Drosophila melanogaster: one gene and its partners. The protein of the gene in region 1 interacts with the protein of each later gene in a pairwise test. Each region holds a gene or a part of one and is shown in the gene's direction. Other genes may lie near its edges.

Region 1 (6,048 bases):
TCGTTACCCCAAAATCATTTCCGAAACCCTTGAGAACCTTACATCCCCCCTTCGATTTGAAAACTACACACGAGAATTATTAAAGGCTTACAAGGCACTCGATGTGACAAAAATGATATCACGCTGTTATCAAACACTTTTTGAAGCCGAGCAACGAACGAATGGAATATTTCCAAATACCTTTGATCCTTAACCGAAAATTTGTCGACTATAAAGTATCTGAATCTAGTCAATCAATGAAGATACAGAAATGAGCATTTGACTGCATATAACATGCGCGAGAAAATGAATGAAATTGGAAAAGAAGCATTTTCTTTCTTTGGATTCATCAATTAAAAATGAGCTCTGTGTTTAATTCGCCAGGAGTGCCAGGAAGTGAACACAGAGTTCATTTCAGATGAATTCAAGGAAATGAAAGCTTATTTCTATTAAAAATTCACCTATGCTTGGTAAGCATTATATGTAATAACCAGCCAAAAAGTGAGTATTGTTGACTACTTAGTTTGGGAAATGCCGGTCGAATAAAAATGAATTGTTCGTTAAGAAAGGCAATGTCACTTTTGCCATCAATCCCAATTCAGGTGGTAATTACATAAATTTCCCCGATGTGAGTGCCATCAACGGAATGCCGTGCAAATGACAGTTATTAGTACACGAGCCTAGCCCCGAAGGAGAGCTTGGGGGTTGGAGGTTTGAACGTACGTTTGATTGATTTATATTGGCGTCAGGCAGTGACTGAGGAACATTTCTAATGACAGTTTTACATATCCCTATGACGCCACCACCACCACCACCACCCATCCCACCCGACTCACCGATCGGATCGATGCACTCGAGGGTGAGGCAGCACTTCAGCCAGGGAAGCATGATCTTCTCGGCCACCAAGGAGCTGTCCGAGAAGAAGACAGCATCCAGGTCGACCATCCGAAGAAAGTTAAACTCCTCAGCTTTCGACTCAAAGTAGTCGAACATTTTTGGATGCGTCAGAGAGGATACCGCCGTCGCTGTGTTCCATCCGAGCACTCCAGCGGACTTGACTGCAGATTTTCCCACTCCTGGATTCATAACGATGCTCTGCAGACTTCGCAGCTGGGCGGAACCTCCGCGCACGCGCATGCTGTTTTCCAAGAAGAGAACCGATCGGGCACGCATAAGACCGTCCTTAATTACAATGGGCCGGTAGGCGTGCGTCCGCTGATCGGCGACGAAGGAGGGAAACTCCGACAGATCATAGGTGATCACCGAGCATCGGCTGTTATTACAGTAGGCGCCCAAATCCCGTAGTTGCTCCTCGGAAACGCCCAAATCGTAGATTAGCAGGTACTCGCTGGGAAGCTTGGCGGCAATATTCTGGGCCAGCAGGATGGCCGATGCGGCCTGCCCCTCCAGCACATAGCTGACGATTGTGAAGTTGCTCTTTGTACCGTTGTACGGCGTCGTGATCCGCTTCCGCTGCCCCTTTTGATCTCCTGCCTGACTACCGAAGGTAACAGCATCCTGTGGACGCCGCAGACCTCGCAGTTCGCTGAGCTCCAGTTCCGCTTTTGTAGCCGGCGCTGAAAAATCTGTCTTTGGCAGTTGCTGACCTGGTGAACCGATGTCCACCACATTTTGCTGATCCAGCTGCTGCTGTTGGCCTGTAGCTTCATTTGACGAGGTGAAGCCCAGAAGAAGCAAATACTTTGGGTCTATTTCGAGCTTTTTGCGTTCCAAGCCAACGCGGAGGTTTTCCTGCAAGAAAAAAAATTAAATTTGCAATAAATGAATATTTTTGGTTTATCCAAGAAATAAACAAGAGATTTATTATTTAAGTTTTGACATACGGTTCCCGAACCCCACTCTTAGAAAATTATTTATGTCGGGCCAGGCGGCGTTAATGGTCAAAAAATATGGCCAGAATTTGCCTCGTCATAGGAACAATTCCGAAACACACATGTGAGATATGTTTCCATTATGGCCCTCTAGCACACTTCCTCTGTTTCGCCGAAACTAGCCCAAACAAATACCCAAACACAACCAAAAATCAAATGAGCCGCACAATGGAACCCTCTCGTGCCGATGTCAAATTCTTGTCTATTATTTGCTTAGACTGTGGCCAGAGTAAAGCGTGCCGCATTCTCTGCCCACCCCCCCGGGCACTACCACTCCTCCGGCAGCCAAAAACCGGTGTCAGGTGTGTCCCACTGCGGTCAGGTGAAAGGGCCGAGGGGGAGAAGCACTGGAATTAACCTGCGGCAAAAAGGCAGCCGCCAAAGTTGCAGGCTAGGCGCCAAACCCAAATCGCATGACAACCTTTCTGTGCCGATAGCAACCACTACACTTGTATGGCAGTACACTCAAAACACTCTTGTTAAGTATGAATAGTATGGTATGCTGATTCATAGATAGATTATTTAATGTATAGCAAAACTTACGAATAAGTTTAAGCAATCAAGAACAAAATCTTACATTTACATTTTTATACCAGTTACTCGTGAAGCTAAAGGAGTTATTCATCCAGATCACTAGTCGATCTGGATAAGCCCGTCTGTCCTTCCGTCTGCCTGTCCGTCCGTATGAACGTCGAGATCTCGGGAACTATAAAAGTTCACTAATGTTGTTTTCATTCTACACAAATATTTTGGCGTTGCAAACTTCTGTTGAGTTCTTGTATTTCGAATAGCGAAAAGATGAGCCTTTTTTTTCTTGAGTGTGCGTTGGAACAATGACGGTGATTGTACACATTCTTACTCCTTAACTTTCCTCGAACGGCACTCTCCTTCTGTTTTGTTAACGAACAACGAAAGATACTAGCTGACGTCCGTTGCTGGGTCGCAATTGAAACCGATCAGCTGCAAGGCCTCCTCGCCCAAGGACATTCGAATCAATCAACTCTGTCCGTGCGGCACTGCGCTTATATAACGAGCATATTGATTTTGTGCCATTCGGTGTTGTGCACTGTGCAGCGCAGTGAAGCCACCGGGGGATGTTCATTTTACCATTTTTCACATTTCACTGAGTTCAATGTCAGGACCTTGTTTCATCCAAACATCAGTTGACACCTACATATAAACAGAGCAATATACAACTCTTCCGAGAAACTATAATATACCAGTTAAGATGGAGGATATTTCGCATGAGGAGCGAGTCCTGATCCTTGACACTTTCCGTATTTTGGACAAGGACAACGAGGGCGCCATAACATCTAAAGAGATGGCGGTGGTGATTCGCGCCCTGGGTCGCCAGCCCAACGACGCCGAGGTTCAGTCCATGATCAATGAGGTGGATTCGGAGGGAAACGGATCCATCGTGGCTCCGGAGTTCTGCAATGTGATTCTGCGCAAGATGCGCGACACCAACCATGAGGACGAGCTGCGCGAAGCTTTCCGAATTTTCGACAAGGATAACAATGGCTACATTACCACCACCGAGCTAAAAAATGTGTTCACCGCGCTGGGCGTAAAGCTCAGCGACGACGAGTTGGAAGAAATGATACGCGAGTACGACTTGGATCAGGACAATCACTTGAATTACGAGGAGTTCGTCAACATGATGACAATGCGATAGCCTCCATGTGAGTACTCGTATAGAAGGCTGGCTTGATTTCTATCCAACAAAAAGTCGGCGTTCTGTCTGTGTTCAGTTTAAATTCTTTATGTTCACACTGACAAAAGCACATGAAACATTAGTCCACTACAAAAAAAAAAAAAAAAAAGAAAATCACTTTGGAAACAATGAGCGGCAGTTTGACCGAGGCCCAGATTGAAGAAATTCGAGAAGCATTCAGTTTGTATGACAAGGAACGGTCCGGATGGGTTTCCGTCCAACAGCTCGGCGGAGTAATGCGGGCCCTTGGAGAGAGTCTCACCGAGGCGGAGATCTACGACCTGGCCAACGAAAGTAACGCCGACTTCGGTGGGCAGGTGCAGTTCAAGGACTTTCTATACGTGATGAGCAAACGGCTGGAGGAGCAGAACAGTCTGGTGTGCCTAAAGCAGGCCTTCAAAATCTTCGATCGCAGCGAAGTGAACAGCTTTACAATTAACGAGATCAGAATGGTGATGACCAACCTGGGCGAGAAGATGTCCGAAGAGGACTTGCGCGAGTTGTTCCAGGACATTGATCAGGACAAAGATGGAAAGATCTCCTTCAACGAATTTGTTACCGCCATGCGAAGCTAGGAATTCCAAATTGAAGGCACAAATTAACCACGAACCCCTTTCGAAAGAGCCCAACCCAGTCGCGTTTTCCCTACGCCTAGGCGGCACCACTTGAAATTCCCAACCAAATTCCTTTGGCTTACTCAACGCAGCGCCAGAAAGTCGGCTGTTAAACCTTGTCCGAAGAAGTCCACTTGTGTGTGTCCATGTGGCACGGCGCGTGACTCCGAAACGGTCGCATGTGCCTAATGGCCGCTGGGGAGTGCCAGGATATTCGAAAGGGTGATGGCGATGGGCCAGAGCAATCATAAAATCGAGCCACGCTGATTACGATGCCAATTTAAATATTTGACCATGTGCTGGACTGGACTGGACTCGCTGGTTTCCTTTTTGTCTGACCAAGTTTACAAGTGGCATGATTTTGGGTTCAAGTCTTATCGCACCTTGCTCTTTTTAAATTACCTTGTTATCTATTGGCACCCTTAATACGCATACAACATACATTGTCCATGACTCATTCGGCAATTATAAAAGCCCACCTTGGCAATAAAATATTGTCAAGTGACTAGTGACTAATAATTTGTAAGGGGGAAAGGTTTATAAATTTGAATGCGCCTTCGTGCATGGATTTCAGAACATATATAAAAGAAAATCATGTATAGAGAAAGAATAATTGATGCCGAATTCGGAGAAATATTTCGGGGCTGGGATGCATTACTCGGAAAGATTTCACGATTTCGTCATTGCTAATCCTATTTGTAAAAGGTAAATACCCACAATAACCCCAAAAATACTTAATTATGCTTAATTGAAAAATTAAAACATTAGCTTCTTTATTTTACATCCACTTACAGTTAACCCACGGACTTATTAATGTTAATCAAAAGTCGAGAGGTCATTCCGACGTTCATATGTTTCTAGCGCTTCATATGGATAATTTAAATAGGTTATCGTTCAGCTACAGTTTAATTGCATTGCTCTGCATGTGAGTGGCGGTGCGACATTGAACCGATGGCTATAGGCAATCAATAGCGCCTGTTTACTCCTCACACAGGTAAATATGGAATACGAGTAATCGCTGTGCAAGCGCATTGATAAAGCCCGCGCTCCTCGCTGTAATTTAAGTCATTGATTAGTGTCGTCCATTAAGAAAGTTGACACAAATTGTCACAAATGGGGCAGCATTATAATTTGAAATTAGAAAAAAAAAAAAGAAAACATTCAGCTTATTTCCCAGCAATACTCCATAATTGGCTAATTGACTAAATAAATTTCTGCTCGACTTATATATGAGTTTCGTATACCCACAGTTTTGATTCGAATTGTTGTATTCAATCCCAGCGCACCTGTTTGATTCCCACGAAGCGAACCCTCGGAATAAGATCCAAAAGGGTGGGATTTAGCTATACACGTACTTCCGCATGGAAAGTTTATACTACTTTTAGGTAGTCTCCGGAGTTGTTATTTATACATAGGCACGCTTTAAAAATATATAGTTCATAATAGAAAACACCCTAGCTGTGCTATGAATATGTCTTAGTCACAGAAATGATTGTGCACTCACTGGAAGTGTTCGACATGCATCAAGTGCTGGCAGTCGAACAGTCAATCACTTTAATTGTAAATCTATATGCTAGCCTATATTAGTATGATGTGGAAATTTATTCACACACATATCGTTGTGTATGTAGCAGTACTGGTGCACAAACCAGTTGGGTAAAGAATGCATTTTAACAAACGAACGAGCAATGCCTTAGATTTTGATGCAATTGTGGGAACTAGTTTACAGACAAAGTAACTTCATATGCGTTGAAACGCCTTTTCGGGTGGAGAAGATACGTTGATCCCTATCAAAACAGTGGTATTACTAATTAATGCTTCCATTATCTCAGTTTGTCATGATAGCAAA
Region 2 (6,893 bases), on another chromosome or scaffold:
TTGCAGTCGACTCGGTTGTCGGTTGTCCTTTTGTGTGGACGGCACGCTGGGCCTCCTCCTATCTGCCATATATCTGGCGTATCGGGCTTGTCGGTAGGTGTTTTATTTGCCAAATGCATCCGACAACGCCCCGGGGGCCCAGCTACAGATACGGATACCACTAGAGGACCAGCGAGCACTTCATTAGTATCTGCGTCCTCCAAGTCGGAGCCCGAGCCCAGCCGAAATCGAAGTCCAAACCAAGAAACCGAAAGCGACAACGATCGAAGTCGAAACTCAACCTGAAACCTAACTGACGGCCTGCCTATCACTAACCGCAGTTGGTCACTTTCCTGGAATTTTCGGACAGCATCGGTCCTTTTCAAGTTGTCACCAAGCCGGGATAATTGATTCCTCAACTTTTTCAAATTACACGAAAATACATCTTTATTTAGTATTTTATCGACGCCCAGGGCATGTCAATTTAATACATTTTTTAATATGAAAACATTTAGTTAACGCTCAATAGGATTCAAAAAACCCGTTTTCGCAATATAGGTAATGTATTATACTTTCAATTCATTTGGCTGCCCGATATAAATATAAATAATATTTCTCAAGATCAGGCTAGAGAGATTATGAACGGATTTTGCGAGCCGTGACACTCCGTTGCCAATATCTTATACGCTGTTAATTCAATCTGATTGCGCCCAGATGGAGACCCAATAAAACTGAATCGACGGCAGTAAGGGAAAATTGAAACGCATAACAGCCGCAATGGGATACCCCCAATTGGGTCGCCAAATCGGTGGAATGGGGGCCTCGAATGTCCAACAAGATTTGATTTTTATCGCAAGTATATTTGAATTTTATTGCGTACGAAATTCTCGATACAATCGCCGGCCATAAAAGCGACTGGAGCCAAGTCCACCTAGCCATGGCCAAAATGGCGAAATGGTCAAAATGGGGTAAACAGCTAAACAGCAGCCGGAGAGCAGTCACCATTTCTTGGCCACGTTGGCGTCATTTTCCACGCAATAAAATAAACATTCAAAACGAAATCAACTTAAACGCCTCAAACTGACCCGGCCTTAACCCCTTGGGTCCAACTCCTTGTCCGTTCCTCAATGTGGCACATTTAGTTTTATGCTTATTTTTATGTCACTCTTTCAAGTGATACTCTGTCCAGAAGGTATTACTCAATTTTCGACGAGAGTTGCACTCACTTATGAGAAACTATAGTTTTTAATTACAACTATTGTGTATGCGTCACTTTTATGAAATTATCAACATTGAAAAAGCGGAACAGTGCTTATTCAAAGCAAGTGTGAAATGTCAAACTAAGAAATTGCGGCTAGCTTGTGTCGAGATAATTAGTTTATATTTGATATTATATAGAGCACGTTTCTGAGTTATTTAATTTTAAAAATGCATCCGGATGTCCATCTTGTGTTTGTGTTTAGTTCTGGGGGGAACGATGCCTTTTTTTAAAAATTAAACGCTCTAAAATACGTATTGTAACATAAATATACACACAGAGAGTGTATGGTCCTTTGCTACGTTTACGTAATTTTTGTGTTGTTTTTGCTGCCTTTTTTTTTCCAGAACCCTCCTCCCGGGTCAAAGTTTCAATGGCCAGTGGCCGCAAATCCCCGCCAGCTTGCAGCTAATAGTTTGGGTAAACAAGGGACTCGGGCAGAAAAGGGTTGATTTAATAAGCTGGACCGATTCGATTCGAATTCTATTATCTGTTGTCCCCCATCAGGACCCAAATCAAATGCGTATTTATCGGGACTTAAATGAGCCAAGAAGGGGGCTGGAAATCGGAACACCCACGAGCTGCTGAATGGCCCAAAGTGCCTTGGCCACAATGGGTTCGGTTCGGTTTTTGGTTTGGGTATAGGAGTGGGAATGGGTATGGGTATGGGCATGGGCATGGGTGTGGGTATGGGTATGTGCTTCTGTTTCTGTTTAGGTTTCGGTCTGTGGGCTTTGTTGGCCATTTGATGGAAGCCAAAAGTCAGGGCACAGAAGCAGCAGTAAACAATCGTAAAATCTCGAAGGAGACAATGGGCTGGCCAGGAAGTGGAAACGACAATGCCGGCATCTCGTTCTCCGTGTGCGGTGACATCATCGGCCAATGCCAAATAGCAAATGCCAAACAACAATTACCCAGGGCTGTTACCATTTTCTCGGCCCTGATTGCTTCATTTTCGGTGGCCAACAACTCCGCTGGATGAGTTATGGCCACATGGATGGCTCATCTCCAGACCAGCTTCTGTCGCAGTTTCAGTTCAGTTTCAGCTCAGTTCCAGTCCACAATAAGATCTCAATGGGATGTTTGAGGGATCCTCGGACGGGTTTGATTTATACTGCGGATGCGTCTGGCATCGACCAGCCGTTGGCCTCATAAATGTCCCAGAAGGACCTCCGGCAGCTGCCAGTAACCATTTCAGGGTATTTTTAAGCCATAATTGTATTACGACAAGCTCATTTTAAATGGTCTCCACCTTTCAAAAGCCTACGTATCCTTACAGTATTTAATTCGCAGCTAAAAACCTCGTGATTCTTTTCGCATCTCAAGCAAAAGTTTCGATGGTTCTATATTAAAGAGAATTATTAGTTGGTCAACATATTATATGCGTTACTTCCGAATTGGTCGGCGGTGTAAGGCGTCGTCATGCTATGAAAACCCATTTTCCCGAGCCCTAAAAACCTTGGACCAAACAACAAACGACTTTTATGCGTTGACATAAAAGGGCGCAGCATCAGAAAATCAAAAACGATAAAAACGGTCTCTCAACTTTTATTTTACCCCGCATGTGGAGCTGCAAATTGTCATTAGACATGCCGAATTTATGATTTTCGACTGTGATTTCGCTCTCTTTTTGGGCAATCTGCCATTCGATCCAGCACCACCCACCGACGCCCGCTTAAGTATGCTACACACATTTTTTTGGTAACCCTTACCAAGGCCCAAAGCACCCCTTTACTTTACCCCTCCGCCGCCGATGTGTATGTGGCACACAAACTCATAAATTGTATAAATTGTTCGGCTATTATTTCTCGTGGCTGTCAACGCAATATTGCAGGCAAATTGTCCTGGACAATGACGACAACATGTTGGCGGGGAAATGGGCAAGCAGGGGTTATAGGTCGGCTTGGAAATACATTTTTCTATGTGTTTTTATGAGCCCCGAATGTGAGATGGAGGCACATCAAAATGGAGATTACCTCTAGTTTTCCGACAACCTGTTTTATTAACAAGTTTTCACCTCTCGTATCGTACCTTCTAACGTGTATGATTTAGGTACGATTGGTCCAGCTGTGAATCTGCTGCTTATGTTCAGTGATTCTATCAATATAATCTATCATTTTCAGACGACAATTTCGGTTGCAGACCGCCAACCCCTTAATCCCTAACCATATATGGATTTTTTATATAACCATTTTTATGGAATTTTCTGCTCGTTTGTGTCAGATTTTTACCCATTTTTCGCAATTGACTTTGCAGCCTTGACTTACGCCAAATGACATAATTAGCCATGGGCGGGGGGCGTGGCAGGTAGTCGTTTTAGGGCTAGGGTTATTATATAGCACGTAACCCTAGCGCTGGCCATGCGCCATAAAAGATGCAATTTCGCGCGAATTCTAACCCCAGCAAATCCTTTTTCGTCCTGCACTTTAATGCCCGTTTTTTTTTCCACCGAAAATACCCGGGTTTCCTCCCTTTTTATGCCGTTTTTATTATTATTTGCGAAAACGGTTAGAAAGTCAATTGTTTTATGGGATTACGGAAAAGCAGCAGGCGGGGCATTCCAGTAGGTGCTGCCTCAAAAGTCAGCTGCCCAAACATTTGGGGCCTACAACGCTACGCCCAGATCCCCAGTCGTTCTCCGAGCACCGACTCGACAAGACCCAAAATATATTCGAGCTCAAAAGTTTACAATTTCGAACAAAGTCAAGGCTTCACAAAATTTTCATATAAAATTCACCGTTGAAAATAACTTTTCGTTCCGCTCTTTTTTCGTTCCTTTTCTGTTTAAATATACAATATATATTAGGTAAAAAATAACATACTACACGTACAACTTTTCAAATTCAACAAAAATATATATTCCATACAGATTAAACGGCGTACGGACCCACTGAGTTACAATGCAACGTTCCATTTTCAAGAGTAGCTGTTCCAGGACACTGATCCTGCTTAACTCCCTGAAATCCATGCACCACAAGAGCCTGCACGTGGAGCAACTGTTGGAGGCAGCTCCAGCGCCCAAAAACCGCTGCCTGGATCTGTTGGGTCGCTTGATCCATGGCCGATTGAGTCTCTTGGGCGGTCGTCCTGTCCCGCCCAGATTCTTACCGCTATTGGCGGGTGATCGAAGCCTGTACTTTAATGCGGACGAGGACGAAGAGTTTCGTAAGCGTTTGGCCATGCAGCTGAAGGAGTTGCGAGAGACCCTGCAAGAAAAACAGGAACTTCGCGAGGGACAAGAGCAGGACTTTCAGGAGCTGGAGCAACAGGACGAGGAGGAGGATCAGCCGTATGTGCCCAGATCTCGGGAGATCTCCATGGAGGATCTCACTGACGAGGAGCTAAGTGACGTGCGGGGGCTGCGGATGAGTGCCAGCCAGGATGATGGCAAGTCTGGTAATTTCGAGCAGCCAGAAACCAGTGAATTGGAAAGCGAGGAGACGGCGGATGCTAAGGATCCCCGGGAGTCCGGGCAGCCGCGAGAGCCTCAAGATGCCCACGATGCCATCGAACACGTTCGCGAGGGTGAAATCGAAGGAGTTTACTGGACGGGCGAGGGCAAACGGATTGTCACTCAAACGCCACAGCGTAAGACGGGTCATTCGGGATTCATCGATGGCCATGGCGAAGAGATTCCCCAGGAGGACTCCAAGCAAGAGGTGGCTCCCTATCACCCTGAGCCTCGGGCCCAGGCGCAGGCCACCTCCAAGGTGATAAGGAAGGGCCGCAAGCCCAAGTCGTCAACCAAAACCAACACGCCCAGCGATTCCGACGAATAACTAAATTGCCAGTAAATGAAACCAAAACCCTCGAGCTGGGATCGCTAAAATAAATACAAAAGGCTAAAGACAAAACGCTCTATGCCGTGTTTCCCTTTCCCAGTAACCATCTGAGGTTTCTGCGGGTTGCATTCAGTTGAGTCATCTGCAGCCAGCACTACCTGGCCACTGCTTAGCAAATTTTATGCAATGACCAGGAGTCAAGGACGATTTACCTGGGCGGACAACACACGCTTCCCACACGCGGCGGTGGGCACTCTCACTCTTTTTTGCGTCCTCTAAAATCCTTTTTTACAGCCCTATCCTTTTTTTGGCTTTTGGTGGAATTCTGGGAAAATTTTACATAAAGATCGTAGAACACCGAGCATGTTTTTTTTTTTTAATATAATTTTTCAAATAGATTCAAATGTTGCTAGCCATTGGTGGCTCGTTTAATGGTTTAATCAACATGGACAAGAGCCAAGTCCATATTCTCCCCTGTCTGTGGCTGTTCCTTCTGTACCTGCTCCATTGACCCAAGATGATAAATGATGTTTGCCAATCTAGCTGACCCAAGGCCGGAAATTAAATTTGTTCGAAAATTTGCCACTTTTCCCCGTCTGTTTCTTATTTGTTGTTTGTTTCCCCCTCAGAGTCACGCCCGAAAAAAATCTGGAGAAAGGACTGTGGGAACAAAATGGGGAGGAGATATGGAGAATTAATATCGGGCTTTGGGAATCTTGTAGAACAAAAACATATACATATAACAAAATAATGTTCTTGATGTTCTATTTTTAACTAGAAGAATCTTGGGATTAAAATACAAGTTTTTATTGACTTTTGATACAAGACTTGTTTCATAAATATAATAGCAAATGAGTGCTCGCCGGTTTTCAATTTATAAACGTATTTGAACGTAGGTATCCGAGATAATTCTGTTGGTCAATTAAGTTGTTAATGTCTCTGGACTGTAGTATCTCCAAAACCGGTTATTAGTCAGATGGGAGCTCCTAGAGAATGGGACGACCTCCCATTGAGCAGCCTGCAAACTGCGACAGTTTATTGAAACATTTTTCAGCATTTCTTACACAAATCCGTGGTCTGGACAATAGGGGGCTACGGAGTACAGTGGATCCTCATTAATCATGTCACATTTAGACCGTATATACCGGCTGCGGTTGTTGACGGTGCCAGTTCGTCTGCCGAGATCCCTGAAAGTGAAACCCTAACTATTATCAGGGATTTTTCACTCTCGGCTTTGTGCGGTTTGTTTGGGGTTCGGTTTCCCAAAAAGAAAAAATCAAATAAAACGAAAAAACGCGGGGACAAATGAAAACATCATATCATTCATAACACTTGTTTAGCTGGCATTGATTGAGCCAACAACACACACCCCATGATCCTGACCATTTCCTCTGCATTGTCCTAAGCGATTTCTCAGTTCTCCGTTCTCGATTCTCAGTTCTTAATTCTCATTTCTCGGTTTTTATACCCCATTTCTCAGTTGCCAGTTCTCAGTTCCCAACCTGTTCACTTTCATTGATGGCCAGATCCTTATTGTTTACGGAAAACATTTCGAGTTCAACTGAATCGCTCATTGTTTGATTGGAATTGATTAATGTGCCCCTGGTTCTGAGTTCTATTCATCGTTTAGCGTTTCCCTTTTTTTTTTTAAGAAAGTCGGTTGTGTACCAGCATGGAGCGGGACCAGTACAGGTTGGCCTGGGTTAATGAGGCCCTCAATAAGTCAATTAGTTGGCTGCAGCGGGGATTAGGGTTGATCCGGTCTTTGTTCGAAGGCCTCAACTCGTTTCTGACTTGGTCAATTGACTTGTTTGCCTCTTTTTAATTTTAATTTTAATACAGCAATAAGGATTGGATCAAAACTCAAAACTCAA
Region 3 (10,495 bases), on another chromosome or scaffold:
TGAGATTGTATTTTGTTAAACCTTATAATGGGGTCTTTTGGTGTCATTACGGGTTCGAATGTTTATGAATATAGAACCGATTGCCATCAGTCTCGTGATGAAATTAGTTTTCTCCTAAAGTCATAAAGTTGATCGGTGATCACATAACAGCATACACATGGCCAACAAGCCGCATCCCCAGCTCTGCAACTCTTCAGCTCGCCATTTAAGCCAGGCCAGTCCAGGCCATCGCGGGCCAAAAGCGAAGCCAATCGCATCAAATGTGCAATATGTGACTTTGTCAATGAGCCAGTTGAGCCCCAAAGCCACCGATTCGATTCCTTGGACTCTCCCCCAGAGGTTTTACTCACGTAATCGCGGCCATAAACCAAACAGCCAGCAATAACAAACAATTACGGTGCGATGCCACTCGGAGTGGCCACAAAATTATGATTTGTGTGGCAGTGTGCGGAGATGCGGAGATGCGGAGATGCAGAGATGCGGCTTCGAAATCCACGAGACAGAAGACACGAGACTGAAAGACGGACAGGTGGAGATTTATGCAAGTAGGAAGCGAAGATGCTGCAGTTGCAACTTGCGAATTTCGAGTTGTGGCAGTTGTTTGTGTTGCCGTTTTTTTTTTTTTTTTTCGTTTCGTTTCGCTGAGCTGCGCTTCTTTTGGCCATCTCATGGCTGTTAATGAAGCACAAAATTGCTGCATTGTTTGTCACCCATTAAATATGCAGACGACAGACGGAAAATAAGGATGATAATGATGATGATGACGGGCAGCCCTGCCCTGCTTTAAAGGGTATTTCCTGGCTGCCGTTCATTCCGGTGATGGCGAAGACCACACTGAGAGAAATAGCATATAAAATCTCGATGTTTCTGTCGCATTATAGAGAACTGTATTGAGCCAAAGCCAGTGACCTTCTCGTGGGGTCACATCTCGCTCCAGTTGAACGAGCCGAAATAAATCGTCTGCTCGATCGTAAATACGCATTCGAATTGATAAAGAAAGGGTCGCGCTTTGTGGAGGATGCCCACGGTCAGCCTTCTCGATTTTGGCTTTGTGTGCGATGCGATCCGTAGGCCTCTTCATCAGCATGGGACTTGCCCGGCACAATAAATAATCATAATGCCGCATTATGACGGCTGACTAAGTGACATTGTTGCACCTCTGAACAATGAGCCATGGCTAGTTGAATTGTTGAAATCGAGCTAACGTTGAGGTTCGGCCGCTTGGTTTGGCAATGCTTTCTTAGCCGCGGCTTTGATTCGCTCCGGTCATTGTTGGCATCGGAATTGGGCGGAATCGAATGGATCGGAGTGCCCGAGCACAAAAGAGCATCGAACTGGCGGGCTGACCAGCATTTCAATTGCGTATTCTCCTTATCGATGCGCGACCATCAATGGGAACTTAATCGAAATAGCTAGCCGACAGAGGGAGACCCTAAAGGAGGAGAGTCAAAGCGATTAAACATCACCTATTTCAACCTAAATGGACAAACATGTTTCGATTCTTTGTCCACATGCACTTTCTTCACCATGTCACTTTCGGAGATTGTCGACGACCCTGAAACGGCCAACACATTTCGAATGCAAGGGTACCACCAGGCGGCAAAAACACTTTCGACAGTGCCGCCTCGTGATTGCGAATGATGTTTTTGGGTTTTAGCTTGCAGTGTTCAGTTATCTACGGCCTTTTATCGTTATCTCGGTCCGCTTAGTGTCGTGTCTTGTGTCTTTTGACAAAATGGATTACCAAATCCCACCAGCGACGATCCGAACACAAACGCCACTCTTGTTATGCCATTTCTCCTTTGGCGCTGGGCAAAGCCAAAAGCGAAAAGCCACTCCAAATCCCAGGCCAAGCCCAAGCGAAAACAACTTAATGCGCCAATTAAAGTGCCACTACTCGCGGACCTCCGGCACTCTCTTTTTTTCCCATCTGGATGGGATGCTCTGCAATTGTTTTCATGCAAATTTCAGTTTCTGTTTCGATTGGTTTGTGGCTTTATGCGGGCCAGCGGAATACAGAAATAATAATAATAATGAACCCAAAACGTATTCACCCGAAATGAAAGGCCCCGGAATCGGTCTTTTGAGTCCAGGCCTTTGTCATAAGCCAAAGTTACGCCAATATTTTTATGGCTTTGAACTTGAACTGGAAAAGCCAAGACAAAAGCGTCGCCGTTTTGTCCCCAAAGAAATTGGAAAGGTTTCCCAGTTCCCTCCATATCTGGTTATCTACTATACAATCATATATATAAATATATATATATATGGCCCTTTGTGAAAGATTGCTCTCCCATGGCGAATCAAGGTCGATCATCTATGATTCTCAGCACGGGAAGCTCCATGCCTAGATGGCAATGGAAACTATTCAATGAACAAAGTGGGCAGGAATATTTAAACGGGCACATCTGTAACATCTCCCCTACTCGTATTCCAGTGCCTCAAACTACATCTTCCCAATTCCGCAACTTTTTTTTCTCCGCATTTTATCTCTCTGTATCTGACCAGCATCTAAAGTACTCCAGCACTTTGTTTACAGTTGCGGCAATCCCAGGCAACCTACACCTTCAGTCACACACAGCTACGTGCGGTGTCATTGGTGGTGAACTTCGGTCTTCTTTTCCCGATCCCCGGTCCACAATACGCCTTCGCCTTCGCCTTTGGCTTTGGTTTCAGCTTTAGCTTCAGCTTCAGCTTCAGCTTCAAAAATTCAACTTCAACTCCAACTCCGAAGCCGATATTCCAGCTTGATGCAACCCGAAGACCAAGTTGTTATGCTGTGCTTGCGATATAAAAACCGCGAGCATCGCCAGCGCCATCCGCAGTAAGAGGCGCGACTTTTGAACGCTAGCACCGCTCCGATTCCGATTCCGACTACGAATCTGAGACGAAAATCAAAACCAAATTCGTATAGACACTATAACCAACATAACTTAAACCCACCAGCCCGGCCGTGTACCCTTGGTATTTTTTGTTTTTGTGGTTCTCGAAGACACAAATGTATTGAAAAGTGCATATATTATTACATATAACATATAACGTCAATATCAAATTCGGATTTTGTGAAAAAGTCGCTGTGCATGCGCATTGATACCTGGAATCGCCATGAGATTAGCGTTAATATTGGTAAGAGTAGGAGTAAGATTATACAATCTCCTTTAGAAAACCCGGAAAATAGACCCACCCACCAATCGAATTGTGCAATTTGTGCGGGATAAAAACTAGTCGTCGGCTGACAAATTAATTTGCATTCAAGTGGTGCAGTGCTGGCCAAGCCGGCTTAGAAAGTGGTTGCAGTTCAACCAACTCGACCAGGTGTACGATACAATGAACTCCCAACTCCCGCTGTCTATGGTGTCTCCATATCTCGATAATCTTGACCTTTTCACTCGCTCCACTGACTCCTGCCCTTCGGCTTCTCGGCTATCTGACCCTGCCCTTGCCCACTTTGCCAGTCCGTGTCCAGATCCATCTATCAAGCAGCACGATGGAGGAGTAGTGGGGTTGAGTTGCGTCAATCGCCCACTAATTGGACGCTAAGATGGTAGAATCACAAATCTGGCGATTGCCGAAGTGGCCAGCAGAGATTCGTTTACGCAAATGTGCACACTGAACGAAATTAAGGGGTGGTAGGTGGTAAAGTGTCTTCACATTGAATCAAGCGGCTATAAATATTTATTTGCATTACTCATAAAAGAAATCATCTTGTGATATATTAAGTAAGTAAGTTTTGAACCAACGTACTAAAGTACCTAAATGTCAGGCAATAGCGTGTATTTAATTTATAAGGGCACTTTACAACTATGTCAACAAAGAAGTTCGAACGAGAAGCTTAATTTAACTTTTATTAATATTCGTACATATTGTTAGTCTATCCACATATTTGGATGTAGTCTTTTCCTTCGCAGCGCTGGAAAGACTCGTTTTCTGGAGTCGCCACTCGTGTGGTTACATAAAGTTATTACGCCCCATCCGATGGGGGAGAAGGCGCCGCTCAGCCACTGGCAGGATAATCTGTAGACGTCTAATTTACATTTTATTGTTGTGCTTGGCTTTGATGTTGCAGCAGCTGCTGTGCTGCTGCTGCTGCTGCTGCTGCTGCTGCTGCTGGTGATGCAACAACGAAAGTGAAACAATAACTAACACACCGCAGCACACAAACTGGGCAAAAATCCAAGTCCGACTAATTTGCACGCGTTGCGTGACGATCGTTTGCCCCGACTTGCCGTTGTTTGTAGCTCGTAATTTGCAATGCGGGAATGGGAATCTCATCTCTGGCGCAAAATCGCCCACCAACCCGTCCACTCGGTTCGATTCTTTGTGCGGCAAGTGAAAGGCAAGGCGACTTCGGGACTTGATGCAATTAAATTAAATTATTACAGAAAATAATTGGTAAAGATAAATCAATACGAAGACAGATCTAACTAGTTGCTGCTCTGCTCCTTCTGTATGAGCGGTGGAGGTTACATAAAAGCAGTTCGCTCTTCGGGTCCCACAGCTCATGCTAGCATTTGACAAAAATCCGCAGCTATTCGCTGTTGCGGCTGACTTGTGGCAAGGCGAGTGTGCCAAAAAAAAAACTCTTCCTGCTTAACGACTAGGCTAAATAACAACTGCTACATAAGCAACCAGCAGTAAAGAGACGACAACGACTATTAAAATGACTTGACACACTGTCCTAGTTTCGGGTAACATAACACACACACTCACTTACTCACTCACTCACTGGATAATCGAGTCACAAAGTGCAATTAAAACTTAACTAACCAAGCGAAGTACGAAATTATTGCTGCACATGGAAAACTGGGAGAGGCGCATGCTGCAATTATGGCATGCAAAGTCAGTAAACTATTTTGCTACTTGGAGGGCTAATTCGATTTGAACCGTAAATCTGAAATTAAAGAGTAATGATCAGTAATGACAAGAACCTAGCCTAAACTGGATTAAATGAAACATTATCAGGCTAATAACCCATAATTCGCATGTATCAGTAACAGTTAGCGACCGTAACCCATAATCGTCACCCAGATAATCATCATTTGATCGATGAAAACCGAACCATTAGTGTTATCTACCACCATTTGCGAATCAAATGACTGAAGGCACGAACTGCGGACAAGCGCTAAAATGAAAAGACTCAAGACACGAACTCAAAGACATCGAGATTCAATTACAACACCAATTCGCCTGACGAAATGTCAAATGTGAAACCTCTTCTCAGCGTGTGTTGTGCATCGAATGGCTTAACGATCGATATTGAGAGCGATAGATGGACCACAGCTTTTGTCTCCAACTCCCCCTTTGTCACCCTCTATTGTCTTTGCCTCTTACCTTGAGCCCGAACCAAGATTGGCCAAAACGAAACCAACAATTTTCACAATTTGATTTGAGTTGATTCCGACAACGAACCTAATGTCTTTCCAGCTTTGGAACATTTTTAAATCGTTACAAATTCTTGAAAAGCTAACTTCGATAGACTTCCTGTTTGTTTCAACTCGCAAGCTGGTAGCTAAGCTTTAAATAATATCAAAAAAGCAATTCCTTTAGTTAAATGTATAAGTCCTATAAAATTGATAAACATTTTACCTTGTGTTTGTCTATATTTCACAGGGCACTCTTAGTGCTATAGTGTGCTTGGCCAGCAGCTTGAGCCAGTCAGAGGCGAGTGGCTCAAAGGGCAATGGATTTCCCAAAAAGGTTACCACCCTGAAGAAGCGACCAACAAAAACGCCGACCACAGTTCCGATTTCCATCAGCAGAGCAACCACTTTGAAGCCCAGTAAGCCACGCGTGAAGATCGGCACATCGGCAACCACCAAGAGCCCCACGAAAGCACCGGCCTTAACCGAGACATTTGGCAATCTGCCGGCGGATGACCTGGAATTCATTAAGGAGCTGGACAAGCAGTTCAAACTGCACGGAAACAAGATCAAGATCAAGGTGGAGAGGGATAATTCCACGAGTAGCGGCGGCAAGAACAGCAAGAGGACCATCGAGGGGGATTTGGGGTGAGACCATGGATGACAGCATTTTGACTGACCAGATATTAACCCATCTAACTTCTATATCCAAACAGATACGGCTACTCGCATCCTGGCTATGATTACACGCCGCCCAAGTTCATGTTCTATCCATACTCACAGCATGATATTCCCTCGGGCTTTGCCCTTCCACAGCCACATCCGGAGGAGCAGGAGGAGGAGGCACACCAGCCGGCAATGCAACATCATCACAATCACGAGCAAGTGACCAGCGTGACCATTGAGCCCTCGTACTCCTACGAGCTTAAGCCCCAGACCAGCTATGAAACCCAACCGCAGCACACAGCTCCCGAGCAGCCGCAGATTGATCTGCCCCAGGATGAAGCGGAAAGTCCCAGTGGTGCAGGTGGTTCCAGTGGCCACGGGGGATATCAGGAGCCCGTCATTGTCTTGCGTATTCCAGGACCCGCCAAGTACGCCGCCCATTTGCAGACCCTTCTCCAGCAATATCTGGAGATCAGAGCGGCCCAGTACCTCAGCTTGCTCCAGGAGGCCGATCAGCAGCAACAACAACAGCAGCATCAGCATGTGGATCCTTCGCAGCAATATGGACCACCAGAACCGGCCACCTACCATCAGGAAGTCAGCTACGCCCACCAACTGGCACCCACGCCGGCACCCGTCCAGTACGCACCCATCGATGATGTCTACCAGAGCTACAAGGGTCGCCACCAGCAACAGCTGCAGCTGCAGCAGCAACAATATGAGCCGCAACAATACTACGCGCCCATGGACTACCAGCAGCCCACACAGTTCTACTACGCTCAGCCCCAATCCCATTTGCAGCAGCAGCCTCAGCTCTATCTGATAGCAATGGCCCAGCCGGAAACGGAACCGGAGCCGCAACCACAGCAGCACCATCATCAGCAGCACCATCATCATCTTCAGCAGCAGCAGCAGCAGCAGCAACCAATATACGTTCCAGAATCTGATCCACCGACGGGTCCTTCAGGTGGTCCTGAACAGGAACCGGAGGCGGACCACAGCCTTCCCATAACGGAAAACAACCCACGACCCACCCACACCAAGGTCATTTTTAATCCGTACCCCTACCAGCAGCAGCAGCATCAACCGCAACAGCAGACCACCAACATCGAGGAGCACCAGCACCAGCCTGAGGGCGAACGCCCCTTCAACTACCACGCCCATGCGATCAAGATGCGCCAGGGCAAAAGGGCGGCCAAGCCGGAACCCGCGGATGGGGACGTGGGTCCCAGTTCGGGCGACAAGGGACTCCAACAGATCAGGGAGTATGTGAGGGAGAAACTGGGCGCTGAAATGGGTTCGGCTGTCGAATACAAGACGACACAGCTGCTCGAGGGCTGAGGTCTGGATAAATGTTCAGATGTTCGAAGGCATGGAAACTCATTTGACCGAACGCACTATCTCTGCCTGGATGAACTAAACCAATTTTTAAACTTGGCAATCTTCAAACGATTTTATCAAAGGTTTTTTCGGATGCCTTAGAATTCTAGAATTAAATTTTAAATCGCTTACGCACGTTTTCTATGTATATATCCAGGCAAGCCATCTTTAAAACAAATTCAAACATCCGTACATTATGAATATGGGGATCAAGTCCAGCAAGACAGTAAAATTCCAGTGAGTGCCATGCCCACGTTCACTCGTATTCTTAACACACAATTTGTGGTTGCTTCTTGTGCCTGATATCCGCTCATTAGTATTTATTCCAAGCTAGAGGAGCAGAACGATCCCGGGGTGATCCTCCAGCTCCAAATCTCATCCAACACCTACCCGCAATCCCTGAGCTACACAGCCAAGGCATACTTTTGGCCGGAAAAGAGGGCGCCTAAAGATAGGCATAGTTTTCTTTTCTTAGCGAAGAGGTGCTGCCGGGACACATTCGCTTTTCATTATTTTGTACGACGTTTTTTTTTATGTTGTTTATATTGTTAACCAAGAAAATGTGCTGCTGATCATGTGTGCAATATTTAGTCTTAATGTGCTTCTTGATTTACCTATATTATGTACTTGTATTTTTGTATGATTAAACCGAAAAGAAATTAATTTGAAAACCAAATAACTCTTTCCATTTTATTCGAATATTTGGCCAATTCACGGAAGTCACGCAGCAAAGCCATAAAAATAGCATCAAATCCGGCGTAACTGAAGTACTAAAAGCTGAACGATTTTGACACGAGTGTTACAACAAATTTTTGTTAAATTAAATACACCGAATTGTTAGCAGGCACGCAATTGGAAAATGCGGGGAAAATCCCGGAGGAAATTTGCGAGGATGATGGCCCTCGCCATTCCAAAGAGTTCTCTTTTCCCTATCAAGTCAAGTAGTTAGCATGGCAAGAGTTCTGGGTGTGTGACTATACCTGTAGTTCAGCGCAACAAGATCCTCAAATGCACAGCATCATTGTACATAAAATAAGTTTATATGATCTGTGCTACACAGTGGCTGCTTGTTGTGGAGTGGTTTCTGGTGAAGCTGACGTTTTATGGGTCCATTGTTGGGACGTAGCAATCGTTTATTCAGATCTTAAAGCAGGTGCTTTTCACTTTTTCGGCACAGCGAAAGGAAGTACTGGATGATTGATAAGATTCCGGGACAGGGAAAAGACCCTGATTCCCTGAATGGCCTTACTTTGAAAGCAAATTGGAAGGCTTCCCAAAGGTTCAAACAAAACAATGTGATCGACGGCGCACTTCTGAATTCCCCGTGCAAAATGGCCAGGCGTAGAGATCACCATCCCGATGGGAGGAGGAGGTACGGCATTGGGAATGCAAATGCAAATGCAAATGCAAGTGACGAATGAAAATGCGAATCTGCCAGTGAGTGCGGAAGCTGCCGACCGCTTTTTAATTTGAGTGGAAAGTAGTCGACAGGCGCTGCCGCATTTCAAAATTATAGAAATTGGCACAATTTACCATCCATTGCGGCAGCTGATTATGCTAATTGTTTGTCAGTAGTATCTCGAATCTTTACGTAAACATCCATGTGGCAAGATGGATGTGGCAAAAAGGAAGAGACCGCCATGTGAAAGTACTGGGCTTGTTGGGGCGGCAAATCGTAGCAAATTACAGTAGATGACTGGTGCACTAGATTAAGTCGGACTTAAGTAGGTTTCTGTCACTTTATTTGCCGTAAAGTGAGTTCTGATCTCTCTGGCCAGAACTTGCGTTTTTTAGCAGCAGAAGAGGTCACTTTTCAGATCTAAACGATCATCTTGAAAGAAAATACCAGCTCCGGCTATAAACAACTAATTGCTTTACAATGTGTGGCAGGGTGGGAGATGAAAGATGTAAGCAATCCGATCCACAAACATAACATTTTTCAGCATTGTCGAAGCGTTGCAGCTGCCACAGTGCAGCAAAGGCAATAGGAAAGTTAAAGAAATAAATAAATGCTGATCGGTGTATGAAGATGTATGAGATGAAGAACTTAAATACATTTACGATACATTTCAAGCCGCAGTTAAATCTTTGATTGAATTAGTTAAATTGAATTAAAAACCCAATCCTTGGCAAATCAATTGGTATTGAGACTGTTCATCTGGTGCGGCTGCCACAGCTGTTTCTTTGGCAGCTGGCAGCTGGTAGTGGATTTGGTAGTTTCTGCAGTTTTTGGCCGCATAACGGGGCATGGATAGCCATGGCTATATGTATCTATGTACCTATGGCAATCGCACTCGACTGCTGACAAGGTTGTTGATCTGCACATATGTGGAGGAGCCGAAACGCTTTGCCAGCTTTGTTTTGCTTTGCTTTAGCCGCTGCAAAGTTGTTTCGCTTTTATTATTACGGCTATTATCGTTAGTGTTAAGTGTGGCAATTGTTTCATTTTCAGTTTCAGTTTCGTTTTTCGCTTCTCATGCAGAATATTAAAATATAAATCATACGCCCTGTGGGCCAGCGCCATAGTCCGCAATAAAGAAATCCCCGGCCAGCACGTAAGGGAAATCAATGAAATGCCAATTGGCAAGTTATTCCAAGGCGTACTCCCAGTTCTCTAAGTCCGGATCTCTTTATCGAAATTGAAATCATCGCTGTTGGTTTTCGGCAACGGCAATTGCTGCTGCTCTTTCGGTAAAATCATCATAAATCAGCGAACACTTTTCTCCGTTTGTCTGGGCTCCTTGTTAATTATTATGCACTGAATCAGTGACCATGAAGCCAACCACCGAGTGAAGATCTGCCACGACCAACCACCGACTGCCCGCAATGTAAACACTGTGAGAATACAGCAAATGGGGAAATTTAAGAATACATAAAATAAGACAGATCTAGTGTTAATGGATTTGTTTCAAGTTTAATTTAAAGGGTGCTAAAGGCTCCCTGTCGAGTCATTGGACTTGCAAAAGTCCTGCTGCTTTCCGGACTCCACTCCAGAGTGGGTTAGTGACTACTGCCCGTTGTCCACTATTTGTCGTTTAACCCAATAAATGCCTTCGGTGGCGAGGATTTTACAAGTCAATTACGGGTATTAC
Region 4 (6,989 bases), on another chromosome or scaffold:
CCCGTCCGTCCTGGCGGTAATATCCGCCCCGTGTTCTGCGAAAAAAATGGCCATTTAGCAATGCAGACATCGTTGAAAAGATGATACATGTCCTTGCCTATGAACGTGTACACACAACTGCTGAATTCATTCAGTGCTGCAATGTGCAGTGGTGTATATCCATAGTTGTCTGCCTGTAAGTAATAATCATACATTATTCTAATCGTAAGTAAAAAAAACGTTATGGCTTTACTTTTGTAAAACTTTACAAAGAAGGCTCCATGTTTGTTAAGATTTTAGTTTAGTTTTAGTTTAGGTTTCACTCTAAGAATGACGTAAAGAGCCACTGGAGCCCTACACAAATGTATGTATGCAACGTATTCTCACTAAAGTTACTGTATTGTATTATTTGATTTACAACATTTAATGAATGTTATAACATGGTATGCTCGAATTGAACCGATCTTCCCGTATGCATTCACTTTAGTTGATGAGCTAGGAGCTTACGTTTATAAAAGTTTATAAAATTATATTTTATGTAGGATATAAGCGTATGGTAAGTAGCCAGATAAAGATCAATATAAGCCTTTATATAAAATTCTTGTCGTTGTCTCACAAACTGAATGCCTCGGCTGCTATTGCTCCTAGTTCTCAGTTTGGTTATAGTTTTATTAAAATAAAATTCCGAAATAACGTTTTTGACGATTAAGTAATTTAATTAATTTCGTTGACCCTTCCTCATTAAGAAAAGCGAAGCGGTTTATACTAATATCTTCATTATCATTTACAATACTTTTTAGTAGAAAAAGCACATTATATTAAATAATGGTTTTTTGTGATCAGCTCTCATAGTGATCTGCCGCCTACCTTGTTAACATCCGCTCCCGCCTTTAGCAAGGCATTGCAGCAGTCCAAACTCCGCGACTGCTTAACGATGGCGGCGTGCAACGCGGTTCTACCATCTCGGTAAACGGCATTCACATTGGCTCCGTAAGATATCAGTAAATCCACGGTGCCGATTGACTGCGAAAGGCAGGCGAGGTGCAAGGGCGTTTGATGGCTGGCGTTACGGCAGTCCACCTCAGCACGGTGTTCCAGGAGCAAGCGAGCACATTCTACATAGTCGTTTTCGGCAGCTGCAATTTGTGGATTTACCAATCTATTTTGCAAAGCACTTGTAAACCCCTTGCCACTACTCACCCAAGTGCAGGGCCGTAACCTTTCCCTCGCCAAACTGCGATCGCACGTCGGCGTTGTGACTGAGAAGAAGCTGGACGCATTTGGCGAATCCTGCGGCGCTGGCGGTGTGCAGTGGAGTTTCAGTGTACACCTGCGGTGTGTTTGGGTCGGCTCCGTACTTCAGCAGGATCTCAACGCAATCCACGGCATTCACATCGATGGCATAGTGCAGAGCGGAACGCTTTTCGATCCCAATGTTGATGCTCGCTTTTCGCCGCAGCAACAGCAGGATGCATTCAACGCTTTTTGAGCTAATAGGGAGTCGCTTGATTAAAACTACGTGTCTAGTGCTGTGCACATGTGGGAAGCGCAATCAAATGAATGGCCTTTTACCTGGCCGCACAGTGCAGCGACGTGACCTCCTTCCTGGCATCCCAGCGATTGGGGTCAGCGCCGAAGTCGAGGAGAACCTTAGCTATGGGAGCGTTTGCCCGACAGCAGGCGAAATGCAGTGGGGTCCGACCCCGACTGTCCGCCACATTCGGATCCGCGTTGTAGTGTTTTAGTAGGAAGAGAGTATTCTCTACGCTCCCGAATACCGAGCAGCAGATCAGCGCCAGATTGCAGTCAGCAGAGTCGGTCATTAGTTCTATGTGGGGGTTAGTCTGGGATATGTTAGGTACCGTGCTGTGAGGTACTCACCCAGGAAACAGCCAGATTGAACCATGTCCACGACATGCTTTCCGCCTGGAGACTCGGTCAGGGTTTCCTTAACCTCGTCGAGGTCCCAGAGGATCTGGTTCTGCTGTTGGCGCGCAAATATCTCGTGCGCCTCGTCGCTAAAAACTCCGGCGCTGTTGGCCTCACTGGATATGCTCCGCTTGTCCAAGAGCAAGTCTACATCCGCCGTCGGATCGCTTTCCGAGTTCCACTTCAAGTCGTTTTCCTTCCAAAAAGAAACAAAGAATTGCAGGCGGCTGAAAGCGCGAGGCATGTAGGCCAAGTCGTTTTACTTACAATAATTGAAAAGCGCACGTTCTCCATCTTAACGCCGCCACTTCTGTCTGCGCCGATTTGTTTACACTCCCGTGGACCAAACAACAATAAACTTTTGGATGCGGCCGAGTCGGGCGACTGTTCAGCTGGCTCCGGCTGCTGTTCGGGTCGGCCCACCCTTCTTGTTGGGGTCGACTACTTACACTTATTCGCGGAGATAGGCTGCGATCGCTAATAAGTCATGACACGCAAATAATTATCCCCAGGCCAATATGTGCGGACACTCAAAATCTCTTGTGCCCCTAATTTGTGTGATATTGCTGCATGTGTGGCGACGTTCTCTTGTGCGATCGGTTTACTTCGATATTTGTTGGAATATCTGGATGTCTGGCGGATTCTTCGCACCGCTGGCAATGGCAATCTGTGCTAATTTTTCACGTTCGCAGCTGCTCCCCCCACTTTCCACCTTCGCAGTTGCCACTGATCCGCCACTGGATATGTTAATTGTGTGCACGACCGACGGCAGCTAAGTTGTACGTCGAACTGAACCGATCGTTCCAGATCTCGGCCTCCAGTGCCTCCAACACTTCGCACTTGTTCATCGTAGGTCTACTTGCGGTACGGACGAGTGAGCGGCTAGCAAGGTGCGTAGGAATATAAAACATACTGTTAAATAGCCCGCCAACCAATCTCTAGACGCCAGCCCTGGCATTTTGCCATATTCAACTCGAAATACACTACATGTAAGTTAGGGGTAGTATTTTGTTGAGGATGTCCCATACTTCGACATATATCGCTGCCTTTTCATAATTATAGGGATTTTTTGCAGTGTACTAGGTCCGTTGAAAAGTACCTACAAGGTATACAGTTTATATTAGGCAGCAGATGTGGCAACGCCCATTCTAAAAATCTATGAAGCCGGCCAAAACTGCAACACCTCCACTTATGAAAAGTGTTTTGGTTTTATTCTTCTCATTATTTTATTTTTATTTTATTAGTCTATTTCCAATTTCTACCGGTATACCATCTAATGCACAGCAACTCTCCAAAATGTTTTATATATTTTTTTTCCTGGGTAACGGGTATATCATAGTCGAGAAACTGGACCTTATCGTTCTCTTCTGCTCTTATATGCAAAACAGATCAACAGATCAATGTAGAGCGCAGATTATAGTTACAATTTCATAGAAGACATCAATCACCCCTCGTTAGACTGTCCCAACCAATATACTGAGTCAGTATACTTTTGCGGTATTTTTTAGGATTTTTTGTACATACAAAATGGACGACTCATTAAAATTAAGTTAAAAACCACTACTTTGAATTGAAGTTTTTTGCCATGCCCATGAAGACCACTAAAATATGACGTCGGACATCGATTTTCAAGAAACGAGACCGTGTTCTTGTGTGGTTATCACGATCCGTAGGGCCAGCATTCGAGCAGAAATCGTCCCCAAAAAACAGTTTCCCTGCTGGCTGAGACAAGAAAAACGCGTAGATTTGCGAGCAGAGCTATAAAAGGGCGCGCAGACAACGCGCTCTACCCAGTTAAAAAGAGTGCGTTGTGTAGAACAGTCATAAGCAGTCCGCTAAGAGATTAGTAGCAACTACGAAGTGAAGGTGTGTGTATACCAAATTCTCAATTTTCTCTTCGAGTCGTCGCAAACAAAAACCCTGTGAGATCATCGAAATGGTGGCGTACTACGACGAGTGCGACGCAGCCGAGAACCCCAAGACCCTAACCGACTGGGTCCGTAACTTCCGCGTTAAGCGCCAGAAAATGCGTCGCAAGCTAAGAGGCGCTGGCAGCGACCTACGCGTGAACGCCATTTTGTCGACGGCCCTGCTCCACGCAGAGCACGAGCTGCGTAGAAAGCAGCAGGAGCGCTTCAGTCGCTGGCTGGACATTCAAACACGGTTTGTGCCCCACGGCAGAACGCACTGCGCCAGTGACGCGTACTCTGCAGTGGCGACCTCGACCACCAAGGCTGCCGCAGAAGCAGAGGCGGAAAGCAATTTATGGAGCAGCGAGCTTAGTAGCCTCGACAGTTTTATGCGTAGCTTAAGCAGCAACAATGGCAACCAAGACACATGCAACAACAATAACAATGGGAGCAACAGTTACACGGGCGCCAGCAATAACAATAACAGCAACAATGAGCAGCACAGCTGCGCCATTGCCGTGGCCAGTTAGTTAGACAGAGACGACCGTATGGTGCGTACTTTATGTGTATGCGTGGCTGACACACACATCTATATAAACAAAATGGCGTCAGGATGGAAGGAACCGTTTAGTTTTCAGCTGCCCGTTCGAATCAAACCGTATACCATTGTTCAAATACGTAGCTTTAGCCCTATTTGTCTTCTGTTAAAATAGTTTTATTACGACAACCAATTTCTCATTTGCAGTCGCAAACATGTGCAAGGCTGTTGTAGATTGTAAAGAAAGAATGAAGGATTGGAAGAGTGTGAGGAGACGCTGAGCAAACGGCCTTCAAATCGAAAGTGGTGTGAGTCATGGGCGCTGCCACCATCTATGCGAAAAGCCCACCAAGCATTGGTCACGGAGCACACTCGGTTTGTAAATAAGTATATTTTTTTTAGTTAAATTACGTAGCTTAATGAGTGTGGCGAAATAAGACGTCGCTTACAGGCATCCCAAACGTCACGAAATCGGTCAGACAAAGAAAAAAAAAACTCGATATACTTACACAATGCATACACATTAACACATCTACATGTCGCGATGGTGTGTGAGCATGAACGCTCGTGCTATTTTTGTGTACACCAAGTTGAGCTACTTTTGTTGTCCGATGTGTCGAGAAATTCGATTTCGAATTAAATTCGAACGTTCGTCATCGCCACTTCTGCGAGTTACATACGGTTCATATTGAATCACTAGCGCTAGAAAACGGGCAATATTGCAAAGTAAACGAGTGAAAGTCGAAAACCCAACTATTAACTGTAAATGTACTTAAAGTAAGCATACAGAACTGATATTTGATAAAACCTAAAATAAAACTATTATAATTAATAACTGTTAAAATCAACGTTGCCTTTATTTATTATTCACCCAGACCAGACTCAGATTTGTTGCTAAGCAAGCACCAACCCTCTCCCCGTTTGACATAACCCGCACCTATAATCAATTTTGTTTTGCAGTTTCCTGCTCCTCGCACGTTAATGGCAACGATGATGAGGAACGGAACACAAACAAGAAACTACGTCGCAGTGGGTCACTGAATGAATCCGCGTCCCGGTAGCAACAATAGTTCGACTATGGCTGGTACTGGTAAAGAAGAATCCCGAACACGATCGTCGCAGTGACGATGACGTTGCGTTGTAGAATTACTGAGTGAGTCTCAACGTCTGTCCGAGTCCCCCCACGTCCACCGCCAGGCACTGAGTTCCGCAAACCAGCCGATGGCCGATTCTACACAGATCGCCGGAGCAGGGAGCAGCAGCAGCAAACACCACCGAGTCTCCTCTGCATGCCAATGCCCATGCAATTCAGTCGCAGCGGACAGAACATTGGGGACAAGGCGGAATGCGCGCGGCAGCAGCTCCAGCTCGCATCAGCTTACCTGCGTTTGAAGCTCTCGTGCTGTTGCCAACCACCGACAATCACCACCTATTCTGCATTGAACGCTTCGCAGCTGCTGATCACCACCCACCCATCCGCACAGATACACGGTATTTGGTATATCAGCTGCGAACAAAATATTGCTTTTTAAACAAAATTCCAGAGAAAAGAACAGCGGAGCATTCATTTATCATCGAAACGACATTGAGGAACTGCTGTAATCCTTTCGGGTGAACACCGTGTGCGATTGTTATTGTGATATACAATTGAAAGGCAGTCGTCGAGTTTTTATCTTTCTGTCTTCGCTCGGTACACTTTTCTGGACTTCTCTTTCACCGTTTGTGATTTTGGCAAGCGATTATTGGACCCCTTTCCATTCAAACTCCCCATCTTCCTAATCAATAGGCTAGATAAGGCCGCTTAAATCTTTGTAGCTGCATGTCACAGTTGATCGGTTCCTGTGGGTGCTTTTGTTTGATGGGATTGCTTTGCGGTCTTCAAGTATTCACGGTCTTGAGGGCTCCAGACGAGGATCTTTCCAGCAAATCTATGCGCAAGCAGGCGTCAAAGAGTTTGTAGACTAGGCACGACCATCACATTTCGTTTTTTTTTTTTTTTTATAGCGTTGCATCGCAGTTGATCGGTGCCTGCGGGCATGTATAAATGGAATCTAGCGAGGCGGAAGATTGAGGTCTTCAATTCTATGGCCCCAAACAACGCTCCTGCGACATCAATCCCTCAATTAGAATATGTGCAAAGAAGCATAACTAATCAACTGAACAAGCGTAAAAGCTAAGATATATGCAACCGATATCTTTTCTTTCGTATTTTGTAGAAATACATTTTCATGGACTGATAATCTACAGAGAATACCAACTCGGCGCTATGGGCCCGCCCAATACATGTAAATTTGTGATTTTATGTCCAAAATATTTTTTGTCTTGTAGCATTATGGGTGCAGTTGAATGTACCTGCCCATAATTAAAGCCTGCAAATCAAGAGTTATTGTTAAACGCAAGAGGGAACATTTTGAACAGACTCAAATCTGTACACGGCCTCTGTAAGGAATGTGCAATCGATACCCTTTTCTCTCGTATTTTATAGAAATACATGTTGTGGAACAGTTTAGATGCTATGGAATTGTACCACGTAGTTGGACCACCACACAAATTTAATTAAAGTATGGAGAAAAACTTTTTTCTGTTTTCAAGCTGTTCCCGTTGAATGTGCCTGCCCACATCTCATCTATAGC

Evidence for each region.
Region 2: the proteins of azot (region 1) and CG1324 interact in a two-hybrid assay, tested with the Drosophila melanogaster proteins (one large-scale study listed by BioGRID).
Region 3: the proteins of azot (region 1) and CG11380 interact in a two-hybrid assay, tested with the Drosophila melanogaster proteins (one large-scale study listed by BioGRID).
Region 4: the proteins of azot (region 1) and CG33229 interact in a two-hybrid assay, tested with the Drosophila melanogaster proteins (one large-scale study listed by BioGRID).

Annotation. Positions count from the first base shown.
Region 1 is NT_033778.4:7,946,790-7,952,837, forward strand, and holds azot (ahuizotl), read left to right. Parts: upstream 1-3,049; 5' UTR 3,050-3,099; coding exon 3,100-3,546; 3' UTR 3,547-3,676; downstream 3,677-6,048. Other genes in the region: CG14764 (uncharacterized protein), read right to left, coding at 816-1,731; CG34431 (uncharacterized protein), read left to right, coding at 1-193; CG30378 (uncharacterized protein), read left to right, coding at 3,714-4,160.
Region 2 is NC_004354.4:20,732,944-20,739,836, reverse strand, and holds CG1324 (uncharacterized protein), read left to right. Parts: upstream 1-3,876; 5' UTR 3,877-4,043; intron 4,044-4,106; 5' UTR 4,107-4,137; coding exon 4,138-5,016; 3' UTR 5,017-5,382; downstream 5,383-6,893.
Region 3 is NC_004354.4:1,188,591-1,199,085, forward strand, and holds CG11380 (uncharacterized protein), read left to right. Parts: upstream 1-2,717; 5' UTR 2,718-3,102; coding exon 3,103-3,123; intron 3,124-5,607; coding exon 5,608-6,005; intron 6,006-6,073; coding exon 6,074-7,364; 3' UTR 7,365-8,070; downstream 8,071-10,495.
Region 4 is NT_037436.4:220,410-227,398, forward strand, and holds CG33229 (uncharacterized protein), read left to right. Parts: upstream 1-3,442; 5' UTR 3,443-3,844; coding exon 3,845-4,348; 3' UTR 4,349-5,196; downstream 5,197-6,989. Other genes in the region: pyx (pyrexia), read right to left, coding at 1-35, 98-173, 847-1,115, 1,180-1,469, 1,552-1,807, 1,861-2,104, 2,176-2,202.